Linked DNA regions of Oreochromis niloticus. The protein of the gene in region 1 interacts with the protein of each later gene in a biochemical or structural test. Links are inferred from orthologs where the notes say so. Each region holds a gene or a part of one and is shown in the gene's direction. Other genes may lie near its edges. The genes, in order: tjp2a, ctnna1 and cgna.

Evidence for each region.
Region 2: the proteins of tjp2a (region 1) and ctnna1 form a complex in vitro, tested with the Homo sapiens proteins (2 studies listed by BioGRID and IntAct, with this or other methods). The link is inferred for Oreochromis niloticus from reciprocal best matches to the Homo sapiens genes TJP2 and CTNNA1.
Region 3: the proteins of tjp2a (region 1) and cgna form a complex in vitro, tested with the Homo sapiens proteins (2 studies listed by BioGRID and IntAct, with this or other methods). The link is inferred for Oreochromis niloticus from reciprocal best matches to the Homo sapiens genes TJP2 and CGN.

What each region holds. Positions count from the first base shown.
Region 1 is NC_031972.2:31,498,380-31,505,568, reverse strand, and holds the start of tjp2a (tight junction protein ZO-2a), read left to right. Parts: upstream 1-4,186; 5' UTR 4,187-4,192; coding exon 4,193-4,411; intron 4,412-7,189. UniProt on the Homo sapiens protein: Plays a role in tight junctions and adherens junctions. Acts as a positive regulator of RANKL-induced osteoclast differentiation, potentially via mediating downstream transcriptional activity.
Region 2 is NC_031966.2:29,112,152-29,119,290, forward strand, and holds the start of ctnna1 (catenin alpha-1), read left to right. Parts: upstream 1-4,123; 5' UTR 4,124-4,480; intron 4,481-5,963; 5' UTR 5,964-5,976; coding exon 5,977-6,081; intron 6,082-6,310; coding exon 6,311-6,506; intron 6,507-7,139. UniProt on the Homo sapiens protein: Associates with the cytoplasmic domain of a variety of cadherins. The association of catenins to cadherins produces a complex which is linked to the actin filament network, and which seems to be of primary importance for cadherins cell-adhesion properties.
Region 3 is NC_031976.2:20,779,593-20,786,938, reverse strand, and holds the start of cgna (cingulin), read left to right. Parts: upstream 1-4,260; 5' UTR 4,261-4,474; intron 4,475-7,346. Other genes in the region: she (SH2 domain-containing adapter protein E), read right to left, coding at 79-333, 1,722-1,848, 2,266-2,712. UniProt on the Homo sapiens protein: Probably plays a role in the formation and regulation of the tight junction (TJ) paracellular permeability barrier.

The sequences.
Region 1 (7,189 bases):
CCTTAAAAACTTTAAAAATCAGTGCTTTAAGATGCTTTGTAGGCCTATAATTGTACCATAGCAATACTTTAAACTTGTATCAGGGAAATAAATTATTTCAATATCTTTACTTTGATATGTGTGTTCGTTTTTTGCTTCAAAATTATGTTGCTTTAATATAAAATAGAGGGCAGTATCCATGGCTTCTGTTGATTAACCCGTATTTCTATGTGTTGCTTACTGGTGAGGTTATTTCCCCTCTTCACTGAGTCAAGTTTCAGTCTTTTGACAATGTCTGACTGCTGATTGTCAACAGCTTGTTCATTGTTTTTCTGTTTACAAAGAGACTCTATTCAGGGCAGAGGGTCCTAACAGAGCAGGTTAAACCGGTCACACCAGTTTTATATCACCACACATTCACCGCTCGAGTAGTAACAATAGGAGTGTGTACAGGTGGCAGCAACAGCCTGAATCACTAACAGATTTTACATCAGTGCTCACTGTGGCTACATACTCAGAGGAAGACGGTGAAAGATATGGTGGAAAAGTGATCCTTGAGTTACATTCTTTAGTGTTTGATCACCAAATATGAAACCTCATTTAAAATGTGACAAATGTACACAGACATATGTGTGTTTGGCTGCTGGCTAACACATGATTTTAGGCATGTAGACATAATCAAGATGACGTGCTAAAGTTCAATGTGAGCATCAGAATGGGGAAGAGATTCATGTTACTTTAAACATCACATGTTAGTTAATGCCAGGCAGGCTCGTCTGAGTATTTCAGAAAATGCGGATCTACTGGGATTTCCCACCACAACCATCTCTGGGGCTTATAGAGAGTTATCAGAAAAAGAGAAAATACCCAGTGAGCAGCAGTTGAATGTCAAATCCATCCCTTAGCTGGTTTCTTGAACATGACGAGTCATGCTATCATGTCAATATGGACGAAAATCTCTCAGGAATGCTTCCAGCACCTTATTGAATGAATGACAAGTGTCATTGTGGTGTTTTAAAATGCTGTTTGACCAGACTTAAATGCGCTGGCTTCTGGGTCTAATAAAGCGTAAACAAATTAAGGTATAGGCATTTGAGTATGTTAAACTGTACTAGGGAAATGTGACAGATATAGTACTGTCTCACTGTCTTTAACAGCTGCTGACAGAGAAACCATTCATAACCTCTTACTTCCCCCAGTTTTCTTTCACTCCTTCTCCTAACATTTCCCTCTGTGTGTTACATGGACTGGTTCTCATATAGCACTTTTCTACTCTGAGTACCCATTTACACACATTCACACAAGCACTGTTTTCTACGCTGTTTCTAACTGCTTTCTATCTAACATTCACACGTATGCTAACATGGGGTTAGTATCTTGCCTATAAGGATATTTGGCATGCAGACTGGAGCAGACTGGGATCGAAACACCAACCAATCCACCCCTATACAGACAGTCCGAGACATGAGAAATTTTGACTGTCCCTACAAGACACATTTCTAAAATTTGCCTTTTACTCAATGCATATGAAGGGAATGCATTTTATTATAGTCAGAAGGATAAGGTTGATCATATTCACCAGGAGAAATTACCAAAAAGTTACAAGCTTTGCAGATTTTGGTGCCTATGATAGAAACTACCACAAAGAAAATGAAGCAAAAATGAATACATACTGTGTTTCAATATGGTGTCAAGTAGCACAGTATATGTGTCATAATTGATTACAAATTGCCAGATATGGCTCAAAAAAGGGATGCATCCCTACTGAAAGTCAAAACCTGTTACCAGACAGAACAGCAGCTGAAATAACAGTGAAATAAAAGAATATAGGAGAATAAGACTTTCACATTTGGCCACAAGAACAAACTTATGCTTCCTTTTATCCTTATTATATTTACTTAGCGAAAGAGCAGGAAATGTGATATATTAGTCCTGTAACACGCTCAGTTACTCTTATTTTTAAAATAGATACAAAAATGTAACACTATCACCTGCCATTGTCCCACACAGACACACTGATGCGCTGCTTATTAGCGGCCAGCTAGATTAAACAAATTAGCGTGCTAAACCATTATAAACCATTCATTATAACAATCCAACTTATTAGAAATTTTAAAAAATGCAAACAAAAACAGACTCATTCCAAGCTTGTAACAGCCCCCTTCCCATGTTTGTGGTCTCAGTTAGTCGCTTTCCCTCGGTACAACACCCCTGCATGTACTCACCCTCATTCCATAACCAGACAATCAAATGGGGGCTTTTCCTTTTTTTTTAAGTAGGGTGACACAGGACGGACCGACAATAAAGCGATTAGTATTTGATAAGACAAAAAGGGCTAAGGGCCCTCTCTTAGAGATAGGGTGAGTAGTTCAGTCATTCAGGAGGAGCGCAGAGTAGAGCCGCCGCTCTTCCACACAAGGAGCCAGCTAAGGCTGTCACCGACTGGGTAAGGTGTCCCGGGCGGGTATGTCCAACTGGGAGGAGGACCCGGGGTAAACCGTGGATGTGCTGGAGAGATTACATCCATCGGTTGGCCTGGAAATGCCAAAATACTTCCCTGGATAAGCTGGAGGAGGTGGCGAGAGGGCGGTATGGGCTTCCCTGCTTCGGCTGCTGCCTCCGTGACCTTATTTCAGATAAGTGGAAGAAAATGGCTCCATGTTTTCTTCTTTTAGTTTTTTTTATCTACCTTCCTACTTTCCACCACTGGTGTTACACATGCTTTCATGGTGTAATGTATGTAAAACGAGTGGCACTATGGGACTACTGGGTGGATACCAGGGAGGCCAATCACATTTCACAGGGAGCCAGTGCCACCCCATCCTCCCTATGTGGCTACACCCCTGCTGTCAATACATGAACTCAGGATGATCAGGATGATACAGGGTAAAAGAAAGAAAAGTGACATTTGATTAACATTGACAAGCCTTATTTATTAGTATAATTATTTTTAATTTCATTTATTTATTGATTACATCATAAGAGAAAATATGAAACTATGGAAATCTATACATGTTTTCAAGCTTTTAGGAATCTTGCTCCAGGCCTTAATAGACATAAATGAAAAAAGAGATTCACTCAAAAGAACTCCACAGTCAATCTGAGCAGCTGCCCTTGAAGCTCTACTTATCAGCTCTGAGCAAAGTTGTCCATATGTTTTCTGCAGTGCAGATTTAGCACTGAGAATTAAAACGAGACAAACATCTGAGTGCAAGATTAGATTCACATAACTGCATATTTTGTGTTTACTAAAGTTATCTCTGAGCATCAGAAAGAGGAAAAATGACATTTTAAATGGCTTTGAACGTGGCATGGTTCTTGGTGCCAGATGGGCTGGTCTGAGTATTTTAGGAACTGCTGATCTGCTGGGATTTTCCCCACACAACCATCTCTAGGGCTTACTGAGAATGGTCCAAAAAAGAGACAATGAGCAGCAGCTCTCTGGGCAAAACCTCACTGTTGATGTCAGCTAAGAACAGGGGACTGAAGCTACCGTTTGCACAGGCTCACTGAAATTGTACAACAGAAAACTGGAAACGTTTTTGGCTCGATTTCTGCTGCGACACTTAAAAGGGTAGGCTAAGAATTTGGTGTGAACAACATGAAACCATGGATTCATCCCACCTTGTACCAGGGGTTCAGGATGCTGGCGGTGTAATGATGTGGGGGATATTTTCTTGACATACTTTGGACCCCTTAGTACCAAATGAACATCGTATTAACATCACATCACCTACACGATTATTTTTGCTGATCCCTTTATGATCACACCCCCTGATGGCTAGCAGCAGGATAACACGTCATTTCACAAAGGTCAAATCATCTCAAACTGTTTTGTTGAACCGCTGGTGTCTGTGAGTTCCCTGTACTCAACTGGCTTCTACTGTCACCAGATCTTGTTGTAATAGAGCACCTTTAGGATGTGGTGGAAGGGGAGATTTGCATCACGGATGTGCAACCAAATGTGCAGCAACTTTGTGATGTTATCATGTCAAAATAGACCAGAATCTCTGAGGAATGTTTCCAGCAACTTGTGGAATATATGCCATAAAGAATTAAAGCCACGCTGGACTCTTGCTATTACTAGGTCCAGCCCAGTAGTAGCAACAAAGTGCCTGATAAAGTAGCTGGTGAGTATGGAGTTTCGGTATTAAAGTCCCTTTATATGACACAGGAAGAGTGACTCAGAAGAATGGCACCGCCCTAAAAGGTCATGAGTGAAACTGCAGTGGAGCTGCACACAGCACACCTGCCGTTTCTAAGCTACGCCCACATACCTGAGAGAACCAGGAAGAAGGATTTTTCGAGGCTCGCCAAAACTTTGTTCCGTCAAAATCCTCTCCTTCTTCACCCTTCCTTTGTCCAGTTCAGCTTTTGGGATTACTCTGCTGCCTGCGGTCACATAAAGACAGGACACACGAAGTTTCACCTGGTAAGTAGGCCCGGCATTGTCCGCAGTGAGTATCGATTTGCTTTCGCCGTGTTTGTGGCGCGCACTGCCATTTTACCACATCTTTAATGGTGCCTCTGTAAATTGAAGGTGTTGCCCTGACGGCTTAAGCAACAGATAACATTTTTTATCTTGGTGCTTGAAGGCAGCAGCGTGTCATATTTTAATTTATTTGAGAGTTTCTTGTTGTCAAAACGTCAGGTATGACCTACACTGTATTCGGGCCTGCGTGTAGCTGTCTCCTCTGCGTGTGTATTCATGCGCTTACTACTAGTTTCAGCGCACTAGAGGCACACCTCAAGCGCCTTTAGGCAACTGTTGTAGTGATTTGGCGCAATATAAATAAACTTGAATGAAGTGAAATTGAACAGGAGCTCACACTGTGAGTGTTTCCTCGTGTTTTATCATTTTTATTATTATTATTATTATTACTAGTTTATATCTTAGCAATTTACAAACATTCAAAAATATCATTTCATTGCATAGATATAAACCAGCATAATCACAAATGACGTGCTTATAACAAAAAAGCAAGAGAAAGAAACCTCTCGGATAAGTTTTTATTTACTGACATGCATTTCTGATCACTGTTGAGGTTCAAAGACTGAAGGGTGGAAGCTATAAACTATTTTAAACATGGGGGTGAATCATAGACTGTAGATAAAAGATGGATACAGCCAGAGTCGCATCACCCAGTGCCATTAGACTAGGATATAGAAGTTTGCAGTGTTACTGTTTTTAGCCACTGCCATGAGGAACCAGCAATGACCACATTTGGATGAGTTTGGAGCACTAGCTTGGTTAGCAGCCCGTCTCTATAAACTGTGCAAGTAAAACACGGAGATGTACACATGCTACTCCATAGGACTTAATTTGTTATAAGTTATAGTAAGCCATGATTTTTTTGTGGTAATTCCTTCAGAAATCCTCCAAAATGTACCACCAGTGCTGAGGCTTATAATGCATCTCTTGGCTAAAACAGCCTGTTTGGGACACCTGTAAATCACAGGAGCCACACCATATACTTTAAAACTAAAATAATAATGATATTAATAATAATCACCACACAGCTGGTATGAAAGTGCTAGCTATTCATAGAAAAACTATTCTAGAAAAACAGCTGTTTTTGGCACTTCCACATTGGTTTCATTTTGTAGTTCTGGAGGCTGCTTCTTAGCTTAAACCAGGTGTCGAACTCCAGCCTCGAGTGCTGGTGTCCTGCAGGTTTTAGATGTGTCCTTGATCCAACACAGCTGATTCAAATTGTTAAATGACCTCAACATGTCTTCAGTTCTCCAGAGGCCTGATAATGAACTAATCATTTGATTCAGGTGTGTTGACCCAGGGTGATATCTAAAACCTGCAGGAGACCGGCACTCGAGGCCTGGAGTTGCCCACCCCTGGCTTAAACTAACAGTTTAAGCTCTTTGGATAAATATCTTTCAGAATAAAACATAAAGATCGGGAATAGTGAAAAAATTTTTTTTTAAAACATTAAAAAAGTAAAAAACATTAAAATTGCACCGTGTGTAAATATAGCTATACAGCATGTGCACCCTTAAAACAAATGGCAGAGTTGCACTTTTATCATCTCGAAATCTTTGCATTTACGTGTTTGTGGGTCTTATATTGTGTAATGTTTTCAGACATAGTTCTTTTATTTTGTTTACAATTCAGTATCTAAAAGGAAGTAGCCATTAAATGAGAGTGAATACAAATTTTCCATGTGGTGGTGTTTACCTGTACAAATACTTCCTGATATGTGTGTTTGTGCAATTTTTGGCAGCAAGAAAACACAGATGTTTTTTTGGTTTTTTTTAATCTGTTAGAAACCTGTTTAAAACTAGAAATATATTATTATTATTTATCAGGTAAATAACAAACTAAATTTGCATTTTTATGCCCAAATTTAAGACAGTACACTGGACTTCTCTGAAAAGTCAGGAATTAATCAAGTATAAAATTCAGCCACTAAAATTACTTGTTCAGGATTGCAAGTAAATAACTGTAATTTGGTATCTTAATCAAAAAACGATCCTGTGTTTTATTATTTTTCAGCTTTTTTTTGTAAAACGGTAAATCTGAAAATGTGCAAATTACAACAATATTTGTATTTTTCTGTTAAAAATATAGTTTCAAGAGAGAGTGTGCACTTATCGGTGGATTAACCATTACAGAAACATAAAAAATATTTTTGGTAATTACCAATACTGTTAATTTAGGACAGCTGTGGCATAAACCTTACTTTGGGTGGTATTCTGTGTAATATCTGTAGATGTGTGGTTTACAGTACTGTGCTTACGCACATTTCAACATGTCTGTTGTTCAGGCTAAAAACCTGAAAGACTTGGATTAATGGAATTTCACAACTGGTACATCCCCAAAAGAGTTTAAGTAATCTGCATGGGGGGTCAACAGTGTCATTGAGTTTCTTGGATCATGGTCCTCATGAACGGAAACACTTCTAGCAGGGAGACCCAGCTTTTTACAGATAAACTGAAAAGTGTCTTCTTTCCATCTCGTGTTGCTTTTTTGACTCTTTAATTCACCCCTCCATGTCACTACATGCTTGCAGCTGATCCAGATTATACCTGTGGAGGGGATGTGCACACTGATTTTTTTTTTCTCCCCCTTTCCCTTTCTGTCTGCACACTCTCATCCCAGATTTGTGAGTGGCATGTGTCCCTCCATCTGGCGCTCACATGCATTGCATACGGACATTGCATAATGGCCCGGGCCTTAGTAATGCAGCACCCCAGC
Region 2 (7,139 bases), on another chromosome or scaffold:
TCTGTTCCGCTTTGCAGGACTGTCTCGATGAATGACTGATTATCATTAGCGTCACTAGTCGGCTGACTTCTCTCTGATGCCATGCATCACCACACACTCATTTCTAATCAAGGTACAGGGTCTTACTTAGGAAGGGGAAAGCCTGCAGATGACATCATGCAGCTCCATGGACAGCTGTCAGGATGAGTCAGGTGATCGTAGGCAGACTGAAAGTCGCTGTCTTCCTTATGTCAGGGAACAAAATTCCTCCAGCAGCGAGGCAGCTTCCAGTTCAGTCACCGTCAAAGCATGAGTAACTACTTTGACAGGAAGCTATAACATACAGTTGCATCCATGACTGAAAAAAACAATAGATAATAACACAATTGTGAAAGATGCTTACATTTAGTAGTCACCATGAGCATTTCTTTTATCGGCGTGGAGCAGTGCCAAGGACTGTGATTCAATAAGATGCTGTGTCCCCTGAATAGAAATGTAGAGCTAATCTATAGAATCAATGATAGCTAAGAGGAAAGATAGCATAAATACCAGTTTGGATTTTGATTTTTGTAATGTTCACCTGACATAGCGCAAAATAATATTGCCACATTTTCTTCTAGTGCCACACGCTGAAGATTTGCATGCACTCAATTATACATTCAGTATGTGACAAACATGTGCACTTCCACATAATGAGAAGGAATTATTTATAGCATGCTGCGCTCTTATCATTTGTCGGGCCCAACAGGTACAAAAAGATGAAGTTCAAGGACACCCAAACTTGTCCTCCCAGCAAGCTGTTACTTAGACAAACATTCATCATTCAAGAACACAATTACACCACATCTAAACCGTCTTCTCTATGGAGTATTAATTGGATAAACAGATCTCTGTTACACTATGTACATGCCAGTTTTCTCTGCTCTACACTGAAATTAATAATGCACACAAGATAGTTCACTGCTGTATTTCCCTCCCAAAGAATTTAATATGGAAATTTAATCCATGACTCCTTAAGTTATAGCATGGTCAAAACTCTATGGCAAAAACAATTACTTCACAAATTATTATTACACACACACACACAAAAAAAACATTAAGGAGTGTCTTTCTGAAAGATAATTATATTCCGAGGCCTTCATTAAGAGCTTGATAAGTACATTTGTAAGCTCATTCTCTCCAAGACTGTAATTCATGCTGCACTGGTGGAGCTTCTTAATTAACACCTACTCAAGCCAACAAATAGAAGTGTGTTAGTTGTGCTTGGCTGCAGGACAAGACAGCATTGTTGATTGTAATGTTCTGTGTGTCCACTGCTTTGAATTACTGATGACTGTCCTCTTTTTTTGGAACCATGACATGAAGCACTGTAGAAAAGTCTTATCTCACCCATCAGTTCTTCATATTTTGCTTGGACAATACAGATCTATTGAAACATGCAATCACGTATAGTTTGTGCGATTCTAACAGTTTTGAAGGTCAGTATTTGGTATGACTATCCCACACTGCTTCAATAATGTTGAGGTCCAGGCTCTGTGGATGCCAGTCAACGACTGATAGTGTTCCATTGTGTGCTTTTCTATTCAGTTATGCTTTCACTGCAGTGGCAGTGTGTTTGGGATCATTGTTATGCTTGAATATGAAGCTGTTGCCAATCAGACGCTTTCCACTTGGTATTGCATGATGGATCAAAATCTCATGGTACTTTTCTGCATTCATAAGTCAGTTTAGACAAGCTATCCAACACCACTGGATTAAATTCAGCCCCAAACCACAACAGAGCCTCCACCGTATTTTCCACATGGCTGTGGACACTCACTGCTTTTCCTCTCTCCTGAGCTACTCCATACATTCTCATAAAAATTAAAACCCACAATGTCAAACTTGGATTAATCGCTCCACAAGACCTGCTGCGATTCCTTTTTAGGCCTGAACAGACACCCCAGTGTTGGTTTTGTGTGTACAACATCATCATAACAATGTTGGCTCAACATTGCAACTGACCAGTCACGCTGTCGGAGCAAACCAACACAAGTAACCTAAATTTGGCTAAAAGAAACGCTAACTTGATCATATGTTTGTTATATTGCATAAAATTATTTTAAAAAATTAAACACTTACCATTTGTTCCATAAGAGTTTAATATAAACAAAGTAATTTGTTTTCTTTTTTCTCAATATTCCAAAGCTATGACATCACAAAAATATGACTGGTCAGTAGCAATGCTGACCAACATTAACAACACCAGCACAGAGATAACAGATTTTTTTAGTCCAGCTCTTATCTAATATGGCATACTTCAGTCTTTTTATTCCTCTGTTTGCCTTTAGTGGCTCTCCTGAACAGTAGGCCAGTTGTACTGCTCAGGTCAAGTCTTTGCTGGATTTTTCCCCCCTTTCTCAAGCACATGATTTTCACAGGTCCATGTTAAGTAGCTTAACAAACACAAAAACACATTCCTCCGAAAGTGGTCAGGTACAAGGACTGGACTGAAAATGACTAAAAAGCAAACAATGGCAAAAGAAAAGCCTGGAGGACTTTTACTTACAAACACTTTGCAATATTGCAAGAAAGTCTGGCTCCTTGGAAGCAAAATGTTACAAAATGAGGGGTAACTCAAGACTTTTTCACAGTACTGTATTTCTTTAAGAGGTGTCTTGTGCCATAAACACACATAACATTAGAAGGATACAGATTGAACTTAATTAATAAACTATTAATTGCCAGCTCTGCAGCTAGTTCTATACAACCAAGAACCAAGAACTGAAGCTACCACTGCTATACGTGTGCGCGTGTATGTGTGAATTAGAAAAGTGAGGCTAGAGGGGTGGCACCTGGCCTCTTTAGATAATCTATTTATGTCTTTCACACTTCATCAAGCCTGAACCAAAATACCCAGCACTTGAATATGTTTATCAAATGTCTCAGTGTTCTCAGTCACTGCTGAAACAAACCACAAAAGTGCAGTCCACAACATACGTGAGATATATTTGCTCTTGACCTCGTAAGAGTTGAATTCATACATGTTTGCATATCCACAAAGCATTTCTAGATATGCTGGTTAATTTACTTGTCTAGAATGCCTGCAGTGTTTTCGTATGATGTTTATTTATTAATAATAAATGAGTAAGTGGCGCTTCAACGTGCCCATTGTGTCTGTGCACCTGATGCCACATCAGCTGGCTTTCCCTAGGGGATTCTGTTATACAGAGTTGCTAACATGTAAAACCCATGAGCATAAACAAAAGATAAACATAATTTTAGTTTAAAACAAATCGAGCCGCTCAAAATTTAGTTAACATTAAAGATGAAAGGAGCTGAAAGGAAGATAATCAGCAAGTTAGCAGAAGGTACTGTGATGTGCAAAAGTTTTGATTCACCCCTCTAGTTCTGCATATTTATGTTTAATGAAATATGTGCTAAGATAAATAGAAATACAGTAAATAAGGAAAAAGTAGAGTTTGCACAATTCTGATGAGTTTTGCACGGCCCGTGATACTTCACAAAAAGATAGTTTCAGTTTGAAAAGGCTCTGTTTTACATTCTGCTAGCGACGCACACAGAGAGACAGAGTAAGAAAATAAGCATCAGACAAAAGAGCAACTGCCTGTGGTAATAACCTTAAACCTTGGAGTTTGTTATCGACACCAGCTCATTGCTGTCATTGAGTGGTGCAGTGCAGAGAGGAAAGTAAAGACAGGAGACAAAGGTCCAATACATGAGTTAACAATAATACGAGATTATGAACTGATTTGCTCAAGGAGAATTTCACTGTTTTTTTTTTTTTTAATGATTATTTTTTCTGTTGTGATAGACTTAAGAAGAGTAAATCTTTTCCTGGCTTTCTAGTTTAGCCGTTATGATTGCATCTCGAAGAAATTCTGGCAGAAAAAACAAAACAAAAACTATTACAATAAAATGTCACGTCTGAAAATCCCCTCAAATCAAATGTCATATTTGAACATCAGATTCCTTCATAATGACTACTTTCAGTTTATTTTCCTTCCTCGGTCAGAAGCCTGTTCTGTAGCCCAACAGTTTAAATAGCGCTTCCCTACTCCTGCCTTTATGGAAGCAGTAATTAATCCATATATGGACATACACAGCGAGCACCACGCCCAAAACACCTCCTGGTTTTACGGACTTGCTGTGGCCCGTGGCCTCCCTTCTCCACTGCCTGGAAGTTCAGGAACTTGGTCACCGCCCAGCGCCCCCCTCCTCCTCCTTTTACCGTATCTATTGTTGGGTAATACGTTACTCCATCGAAATTCTCCTAACCGAAACTTTTCAGCTGACTTGCTGGAGCGCTTGTGATACTTTTCTGTATAGCCGTCGGGCGGAGGGAGGAAAACTTAGGTGTTTATCGTGAGTGAGCGGCGCAGTTAAACTAAGTCCGTGGGGCGAGGAAACGGGAGGAAAACTTTTGACGCAAGGAATTCCGCAATTCCCATTCCTCCATTTTGAACTTTTAAACTTCACTTTGTCTAACGGACTGTTGTCGGTGAGTATATAACGAGTCTTTCTTACTTTATGTACAGTGAATACTTAAAAAAAATGAGTGGACTAGTTATTTGGACCGTCTGTTGAGGCGGTAAAGTTTGCCGCAGAAAGCAGGCTAACAGTTGTTTGTCGCTTAGCATTAGCTTTAGCTCATCGCTGTGTTTGGAGAGCTCCGTGTTACAGCAGGTAACCTGCATTACGCTAAGCTAAGCTGGTTTTAATGTTACCTGTAGCCTGCGGTTAATAAAGTATCGAAAATGACCTAGATGTACCGTTATTGGGTGTTAAATGTGTACACGAGTATTTTCTGCTTTGTATATTCTCGTTTGACGCTTTTTGACGGGGTAAAACCGACGTTTGTTTAGGTAGTTTTAGCAACAGGTGGAAGTTGAGCTAATGTTAGCACACCAGGTGTTTGACCCACCCTAGTGCTTCTCAGCAAGTGTTAACATGTTTCTTTTTTGTTACGGGATTTTTCCTGTTTGGATACAGTATATACACTTATTAGTACCTACATATGGCTTAGTTTGAGAGTTTTAAACCATTAATATTATTTTTGCCCAAGTCACGTACATAAACAATCAGTGGTCTCAAGCCTGCTAGACTGTTTCGATTTCATTTGCAGAGATTTGTAGATATCACTTTGCGACATGTACCACGCCCATGCAGAGGAGGTGAACGCAGTTTCTCCCACGCTGGCCCTTCGTGTCATGACTAGCATTTCACGTTGCTTTCAGTGGAAATGCGTCATGTTGTGTGGACAAACAGACGTTTCGTCAAACAACCTTTACAGAATTTCTTTTTCAATACACTGCCCAACATTATCAGTTTCACTGCGTGTTAACTCATGGGTAGAAACTCTGTGTATATCGGAAAGAAGAAAAGTGGTTAATAATACAGGAGAACTGAAAATGGCTCGCCTAATATATAACGATTCAGTATAAAATTAGACAGCCATGGTTACCATGTTCTTCTCTTAATATTTTTGTATTTTTGTTGGTAATGTAGGCTAATAGCTAGTGTTGTAATTCCTCACATAATACAGCTGACCAACTTTTCAGTTGAAGCCCCTCAGCCCTCGGGCCATCCTGATTATCCCTGCCCCTCCATGTTTGATAGCTAATCAATGGGGTCGCAGCCACTGCCTGAAAAGAGAAATTGAAATTGGGCCACTGTGTTGCTGTGCTCTGCCGTTGGCATTCATTCTGAAAGCAATGGAGCACTGCCGGCTCTAACAAGGACTTTAATAATTTCTTTAATGCACCGAGTTCTAGACACTAGTCTGATAATCTGAAAGAAATCTTGATTTATGAAGAAAAATTATAACTTTAAAGTCATTCAGGGAAGCAAATATTCAGTTAATCAAAGGACAGAGATGTCCATTTTTTCTGTAGTCTACATTTTCTGCTTCAGAAGAATTAATTTGTCATTTGTTTCATTTTTTTCTCTTTGACCTTTTTTTTAAAAAAACAAACAAAAAACAGTAAACTAGACATCATGACTAGCAACACCGCACCAAACATCAACTTTAAATGGGACCCGAAGAGCCTGGAGATCCGTACTCTGGCAGTGGAAAGGCTGCTGGAGCCTCTGGTCACACAGGTAATACAACAAGTATTAATATTATTAAAAGGAGGCACCTTACACATCTTATTTCACAAAACAGCAAAGTAAAAAAATATGATTTATTTCTGTGGTTCATTCTTGCATTTCACCATTTTAATACTGTGGTATTTTGCCTGGCAGTGTCATATGTTGTCTGTTTTTTAGACTTATCACTATTTATTAACTGTAGGCAGGTATATAATATCCTAATGAATCTCTGCCATAGGTCACCACTTTGGTAAACACCAGCAATAAAGGACCATCTAACAAGAGGAAGGGGCGCTCCAAGAAGGCCCATGTTTTGGCTGCATCAGTGGAGACTGCTACCGAGAACTTCCTTGAGAAAGGCGAAAAGATTGCAAAGGAAAGTCAGTTCCTCAAGGATGAGCTGACTGCTGCTGTGGAAGATGTCCGCAAGCAAGGTATATTGAAAATACGTATTGCAGCAGTGTGGCTTCATGCTTGTACAGAGTGCCTCTTAAGAAAGGACGGATGAAAAATAAACCATAAGCTATGTATACATCATCTGCTCCAGCAGAAATCCTTGAAATAAGAATGTGGTTTGAGTCTGATAGATTTCGTTTAGAAATGGGTTTTTCAATGAGGCCATTAATAGACTTTCAGTTTAAGCATGCACATGGTTCAGATTCATTTCATGCTAGATGGTGTCATTGCCTTACCTTCTGTGGGGATCAAATGTAACCACTTTTCCAGAGAAGCCTTTGTGTTCTCTTAGCGCAGTGTTAGGATACTCCCCAGTTATCTGAACTTGAGAATCAACCTCACCATATTCAGTGTTGTATTTTCTGTGCTACCTCCCGTTTCTTGTCCTTTGTTTTTGTTATAGAAGGATACAAAGATGTGGTTATATTATAGAGGTTTGCATAACATCAAATCAGTATTATTTTACTTGTGTTTCTTAATGTTCAGAACTTATTTTTGGGTAGTGTGTGGGGTATTCTTGGCTTTTAAAAATCCTTACCGAGGAGTCTACTATAAACTATGTAGTACTCACATGAAGAACTAAATTCCAGTTTAAATCTTGTGTTGGCCAG
Region 3 (7,346 bases), on another chromosome or scaffold:
AAATCCTCGTTATCCTTCTTCCACACCCTAAACCCTAAACCCCCACCCTTCCCATGATCCCTCCCTCCTTTTCTCTACCTGACAGAGCTCTAACAATGTCCTCCTTTCTCCACTCCCACGGCAGTTCGTACTCTCCAGCTGGACGGACATCAGACTCCGGTCGTGTGACAGGGATCCACACGCCCTCACTGTCGCCTTCCAGTCCTCCTTCGTAGGGTATGTCATAGATGTTTGGGGGTGCAGGCATTACCTCTTCTGCCTTCCCCTCGCTTTGGCCTCGATCCAACAGGACACATACTTTCAAGAGGTCTTTGGAGCCCCGTCTACGAACCTCTACAGCAGAATGGATATGTGATTAGCTAACTGTATATAAGACTTGAACAGCTAAAGGCACATAATTGGCCTTCCCTTCAATATTACACCCCCACCTTAGTGTTTAAAGCACATTTCCCTTACAATATGTGTTCAGAAAAACAACTAAATTACAGTAGAAAAAAATTAAAAATGTACTTTTACTGAAATAATTTACGTGCCATTTCAAACATAACCACTATAGTCCAAATCAGATATTTTGGACAAAATACAGAATAAAACTGACGTTTAGAAACATCCTTAGTTTATTACAAGCTTTCACTCAAGTGCACAAATTAGGAGTTTACACCACACAGTCTGTAAAGCAACATTGTGCTGATTACATATATAGACTCCACTGTTCTGTCCTTCATTTGCTCGTTTCTTTTAAATAAATCAAGTATTGTTTGAATATTGTCTTTTTTTAACATTTTCGGGGAATTTTAATTGTTATGTTCCTTTTTGTTTTTTCATTTGGTGCCCGGCAGGTAGCCTGTGTGTCTACACTATTGTGTGACCAAACAATGGATTTACAGGAAGAAAAGGTCAACACAGCCGTTGATTGGCTCACTAACCGGACCGCTTCCTGACTGTTGGGAAGTGATTGGGTGAGACCGGGGGGAAACCTGTAGGTTTTTAGGGAGGGGTGAGAGGGGGGCTTTCGATTCTTGTCACATGCAGGGGACCATAAAGTATCTGGTGTCTGTCTCTGTGTGTTTGTGTATGTGTGGAAGGGGAGGCAGGAGGGCATTAGGGCCAATGTCCTATCGAGAGAATGGGGCAAAGGAAACAGAGGCAGGAGACAGGAAGCTGGAAGAGGAAGCTGCACCCATTGTCCCTGCACAACACTGTTACTATAGCCACCGCCAGCGGGGAGGGAAGTCAGTAGAGAGACTGAGGATCTAGCTTGGCTCTCAGTCCCTTTAAAATGATAAGTTAACAAGAATGTGATGCAGTCTAAGTGCTGATAAACTTAAATAAGATGTATAATTAGTGTTCCTTTACGAGCTCACAATACACTTGGCTTATCAAGCACGATATACAAAGTGAAGCAAAAGGTTAAAAAATTGGAATTAAGTTCTCAGAAAAATAAAAGATAGTCAACTTAAAGAAAAAAATACAAGGTGAAGATGTAGGAAGGATGTTGCTAGTGTTATTGTTGTGTTTCTATAAGCGATTCTGCCATTCTGTTTAAAGATGTGCTGTAGGACCAAGTTCACGACTGAATTCTTCTGCTATATTCACAAAAATATGTCGTTCACATTTGCTCAGCTGCTGAGAAAACAGTCCAAAACTCCGGAAAGCCAAGAAGCACCTTCATAATAAAACTTTGGCTGCTGAGATACGAGATCATGTGACCCTGACCTCACCTGTGATGATGACCTGGGCGTCATAAGGCTCCATGTACCCATCATTCACTCCTGCTCTCTCAGCTTCTCTCTGCTCCTTTGTTTTCTCCGCATCAAAAGGATCTGCATAGTCCTCCAGGATAATCAGCTGTTGAAAAGGGAAAAGCACAATGCCGGCCTGCTACCTATTCAAAAGTCACAGAGACAACAAGCAGTGTGCATGTGTGTGTGTGTGTCTGTGCGTGTGTGTATGTGTGTGGTGTCCATGACTGAGTGACAAGTAATGGAGGGACAAGCGGAAATACTTGTGCAAAGAGGTCAGCGCATTGTGTTTGCCTGTGTGATCTGAAACAATGAAGTGAAACTGTATTGTATTCTTTTGAGAACGATGGAAACTGAATACAGGGTTATGATCTGAGACATGGAGGGAAAACACAAAGGAAAGCACTGACCTTAAGCCCTGTACTATAATGATGTTTTAATGAACTAATTCATAAATAAATAGCTGCTGAAATATGAAGACATGTTATATGGGCATGTTATATAATTTCTATAAGTTACTCACCGTTGTTTTAATGTCAGATCGTCCTTTCTCGTTCTCGGGTAGCTTCTGTTCACATATCCCATTGAGTTTGGGGGTCTTTTCTTGTTTGTCCACTTTGATCATCCTGCTGATGTACGCTTGAGCCACACTAGAGGTCCTGACCTGGCGGTTCTCATCCGATGACGCGGTGTCGCTCTTGGTGTTCTTGCGACCTTTTCCAGCCGTGAGACTGTCCCAGACTGTTCCACCAGAACCAGCATTGTTACGACCCAGTTCTGTAGCCGAATTCTTCCTATTTCTCCCTGCCAACAAACCCCCCACTCCCCCATCTCTGCGCTGATTTCCTTTCAAACTGTCTCGTGAAAATGAAGGTTTGGGTCGAGTTTGTGGACCAGATTCGGAGGCTGAGCGCACTCTTTCATTTCCGTTCTTCAGGTTGATGGGGAAATCTCTGAACCATTTTGCCATGGTTGTTAAGTTGATGACACTTCTTACTGATTTTAAAAGTTACTAAAAGTTACTGGATTTTTTCCCACCTCCTTGCATTAGCCTCCCCCTAAAAGTTACTTTTAGCCTTCCTCAACAGCTCCAACTTTACGCACACTCACTTTGTTCACACTTCGACTGAAGTAACTTTGGTATGCAAGGATATCTGACTAATCACTTTAAGCAGATCCCACTTTATGATTCTATGCTGATTCCTAGCTCCTGAGACTCTCTCACAACTTCTGGTGCGTCTTGGAGATCATTAGCCAGCTGCTCTGTGTTGCTGTCACCCTGCACCTGCAGTAACAACTATCCCTGCAGTTTGAAAAGTAACTTTTGCAGAGCATAAACTCGAAAGAATTGGAAGTTTTTCTTTGAACCCAGTAAAGATCCCATTCCCGGAGCGTGAGATAGTGCGTCCAGTCTGTCGACCAGGCGAAGTGATGAGAGGAGTGAAAGGAGAGGAAAGTTGGAGTGAGCAGACTGGGGGATGTCGCTGGTTTCTGGGGAGGAGCTGCGCGCACGGGGCGGAGTGGCAGTTTTACTCAACAAGGAAGATTGTAAATCTCATGAAAACTTTTTATTTCCAGAACCCAAACTCTAAAACTTTTCTTTTTATTCTTCAACACACAATAAGTTTAATAACTGTGTTCAGCTCAGCTCTACACACATAACATTGCAACAGCAAAAGATAACAAAGGACAAAAAAGTTATATTTATTTATATGGGTTTTTTTTTTACACTCAGGGATGTTCCCAGGATTTCTTAAATCTTACACGGGTAAGCTATTACAATGTCAAAAATTGTGCTTAAATTGGAAAAGTGAAGTTTAAATATGTCTGTAGGTTCTCAGTTATCCAGTAGACTGGACTTCAGTGGGTTCATGAAGATGTTTCCCCTCTTGTGCACGAGACTTCTTCAGTTCTGCCCTTTCGATGAGAGGCAAAACATGCTCATAAATCTAAAGAAGTCTCGTTGCCTTCTTTTCAAGCTCTCAATTTTCAATTTAATTTTGTTGTATTCTCAACAATAATCAACTGAAGGTGATTTATATTTACATAAAGACTCAACAATATTAGTAAGAAAAATCCCAAGAATCACATGACCCCTTATGAGCAAGCACTTGGTGACAGTGGGAAGGGAAAAGAAATCACAATTTTGGTTGGAAGACACCAACCGATGCCATCTACAATCTTGTTGCTATGATAGCAAAGTGCTACAGCCCAGAGAACCAGCCGGTGTACGGCTGCGCCATCTACTGGTTAACAGGAGAAATAAACGTTGTGAGGCACCTGCGTCTATCAGTAGTCCTTGAAAAGTTTTGTTTATCTAGGTTACGCGGGTCATTATTTGGAAAAAAAAAAAATACAAGTTCCATTTTCAGCAAAAAAAAGGTGAAAAAATGGTCCAGAAACAAGGAATGAGTGGCATGGAGGTTTCACCAATTACAAACCTAGACAGTATCAATAGCCCCGCCCAAGCCAGCGAAACGGCCCAATCACAGCGCCGTACTTGGCGGGGCTGGGCGGAACGTTTACATCCCTGACAAAAAGGTAACAGGTTGCATTCCCAGCAGCAGCATAATGAACTTATTGCTGTGATAATTTCCGTAGGAGTTAGGTTTTTCTGTTCACGTTTCCGTGTGGGCTTTAATGGATGTCAGTCAATATATCTGAATTATTATCGGCATACAGCAGGCGAGAGGATACGAGAGGAGCAGAAGAATAAGTTCAGAAAAAAAGAGGTAAGTTCACGCTGGGTTTGGGACCTCTCATAGCCAGACAACTAAACCAGACAGGCGCCGCTCCTCGGACAGTTACTTTGACGCTTTGTGGGTTTCTGGTGCTGCCCAGCGGCACTTATTTTTGATTTATGGCAGTTATGTAATAGTTTATTTGGTAGTGTCACTGTGAGCCAGTGTAGCTGAGCAGCTAACGATGGTTCGAGAGAAACAGCGCTACCAGCTAACGTTACTCCAAGATAACTTTTGGATTTGCCCGTTAAGTGAAGGGAAGTAAATGACAAATAAAACAGAATAATACGTCTCTTTAAGACAAATGTAAGTATAGCGAAGGTAGGCTTATTGTCAGAGGTTTAACTTTTAAAACCACAAAGTTGTTTAGAAATGAGCCAGGTGTTTCCGTTTCTGTGCACACCTGTGTACACCTGTGCGACCAGGAGATCTGTCATTGGAACAACGGTACAGGAGAAACGTTTTTAGCACATAGCTCAAAAGGATGAATGCAACTGTAGGGAAACCATTAAAGGATTGAACCCGGGTAAACAATGGATAAACATGCATTTCAAAGTACACCTGCTTTTGTTCTCTTCACAGCTCATGTGAAACTGATGACACGGGCAAGAAGGAACAGCAGATTATAGTTTTGAGGTGGGGAAAGGCTCATGGATTGGGTCGTGAATTTCACTAATTATAGCATTGAGCCTGCAAAGCTTCGGGTACAGTTTCAGAACTCGTAATGCGGTGGGAATGCCTCACATTGGACTAACAGATAAAAGACCTGTGCCGTGTTACACGTACAAGCAGCTGATACACTCAAGTGTGCAGATAAAACGCCATAAAGTGAGTCTCCCACACTGACACACTTTCAGCCCCTGTATGTGTAAAGGACAGAGAGACCAGTGTCAGGAATTTGGAAAAGGGAGGGGTGTATTTATGTGCTCCTACTTTTGTGTCATTTTTTTTGTACATTGTTATGCCAATGAACTCCTTTGCACTGAGAAGAGGAATAAATGGGTGTTTGTTTGAGGGTGAAAGAGGATGAGGGCTTGGTGTTATGTCAAGAATGTAATGGAGAGGGAGTATACTCTGAGGACTGAGTACCTGACTCTCCTTTAAAAGCAGAAGAGAGAGTACAGCACTTGTATCTCTGTTGCTTACATGATGACATTTGTGATTTGCAGGACAGTCCTGTAAAACTTTATGATTCACTTGGAAGAAAAGGAGGATTAAATGTTTTTTACAGCATCCATATGCCAGCTTTATAGCATGCTGTAAACTAGCTCTCAAATAGTCCAACTAGCTATGAGTTGATAACATTTTGATTTATTTGTTTTGTTGGGGTTTTTTTAAGGGCAAATATTTTCAGATGTGGTGTTTTGAGGCTTCCTTGGTTTAGTGTCTGGCTGTTTTCCATCGCTTTCAAGCTCATTCAGCACACAGGCGTTTACATTTTCATTCTTAAGACGTTTATACAGTGCTTACCAAATTTATTAGACCCCCGCGCATTGTAGGTTTTATGGCACATCTGCCCTAAATTAACAGTATCGGTAACCAAAATCATTTTTATGTTTCTGTTCTTTAAAAGTTCTTTAATCAAAATTATGTTTTGGATGCAAAAATCTTAATTATTGCTTTATTTTTTTATTTTATTTTTATTTTTTACAAAAGCAGTAAAGCACATTATTATTTTTCTGATTAAGATGTGTAATTAGAAAAACCGTTTCTGCCAAGTCCGGTTTTGTGGCTTTATGAGGACAGAAGCTCCGCCCACTTGCTGTTCAAACCTTCTGTTTGCTTTTGGTAGCCAGTAAAAAGAAAGTTTAAAGGGAGAGGAGCTCAATGAATTGTTTCAGGTGTTAATTAATTGAGGAGTCAAACCAAAGACCAGTATAGGATAAACAAGGTTTGTTTTGAACTGTGACTCATGCAAAGCTGTTCTCGTATAGTTTGAGAACGAGAGAAGACTGGCTTTACTTAAAAACATAGCACATGCTTACGTACTTGTAGTGCTTACGTTTTGGCATGAAGGGTTGTTTTTATACCCTAAGGATATGTTTTTGGCACATGTTGCCATTACCCTTGTCTGCCATCTCCAGCGGTGTCATTTTTGGGCCAGTCTAGAGATGATGCGATCACATTAGCCATGTGGACTGAGTCAGCAGAGGCATGTGATTCCACACGTTGCCGTTGTTTCATTTTTCTCCTCACCCATTCTGATGTCCTCATTCTTTTTTCCTTTTCCTTTCCACCTTAGGTCTTAAAACGAAAGCAGCTTCAATTCAATTTACTTTTTGAGAATTGAGTTTGAGGCCACAGGCACAGGCTCGTCAGCATAACTGCAGGGTAGCACGACTCTCATGAAATTACAAAAGCTCCAGATATAGCTGTGCAAGCAAAGCTGGTCTGTTATTAAAGTTGCAGTACTCATAGTTATGATTCTGGGTCTCTAGAGTGAACACTGTTTAGTCGCTTATTGGCTAATGGATTGCTTTCTGTATTTAAAAAAAACAAATTCATGGGTTTTACAGACCTGAAACAATCACCTTAGGTGTGACATGTTAGTTTCACTCACGAGTTTAAGATCAAAGGAGAGCTTGTTTGCCATCCTACTCTCAGTGTAGAAAGCATGTTTATTTAGAGTGCTGTGGAGGAAAAAACACTTTGGAGTGAAGCCTAAAAGCAAAATTTAAGCATTGAAAATGACTTCTTATAATCAGATGGACAGTGTGACAGAAGAGAAAGGGGCAGGAGCAGCAGGGGTAGTTAAAGCATTCCAGAATTGCTGCCCTCATTTTCCGCCCCACATCAGCTGGACAATGGGATGAGTTCTCCTCCAACCACGTCCCGCTGTCGGAGCTGGAAGTGCCTTCCTCCT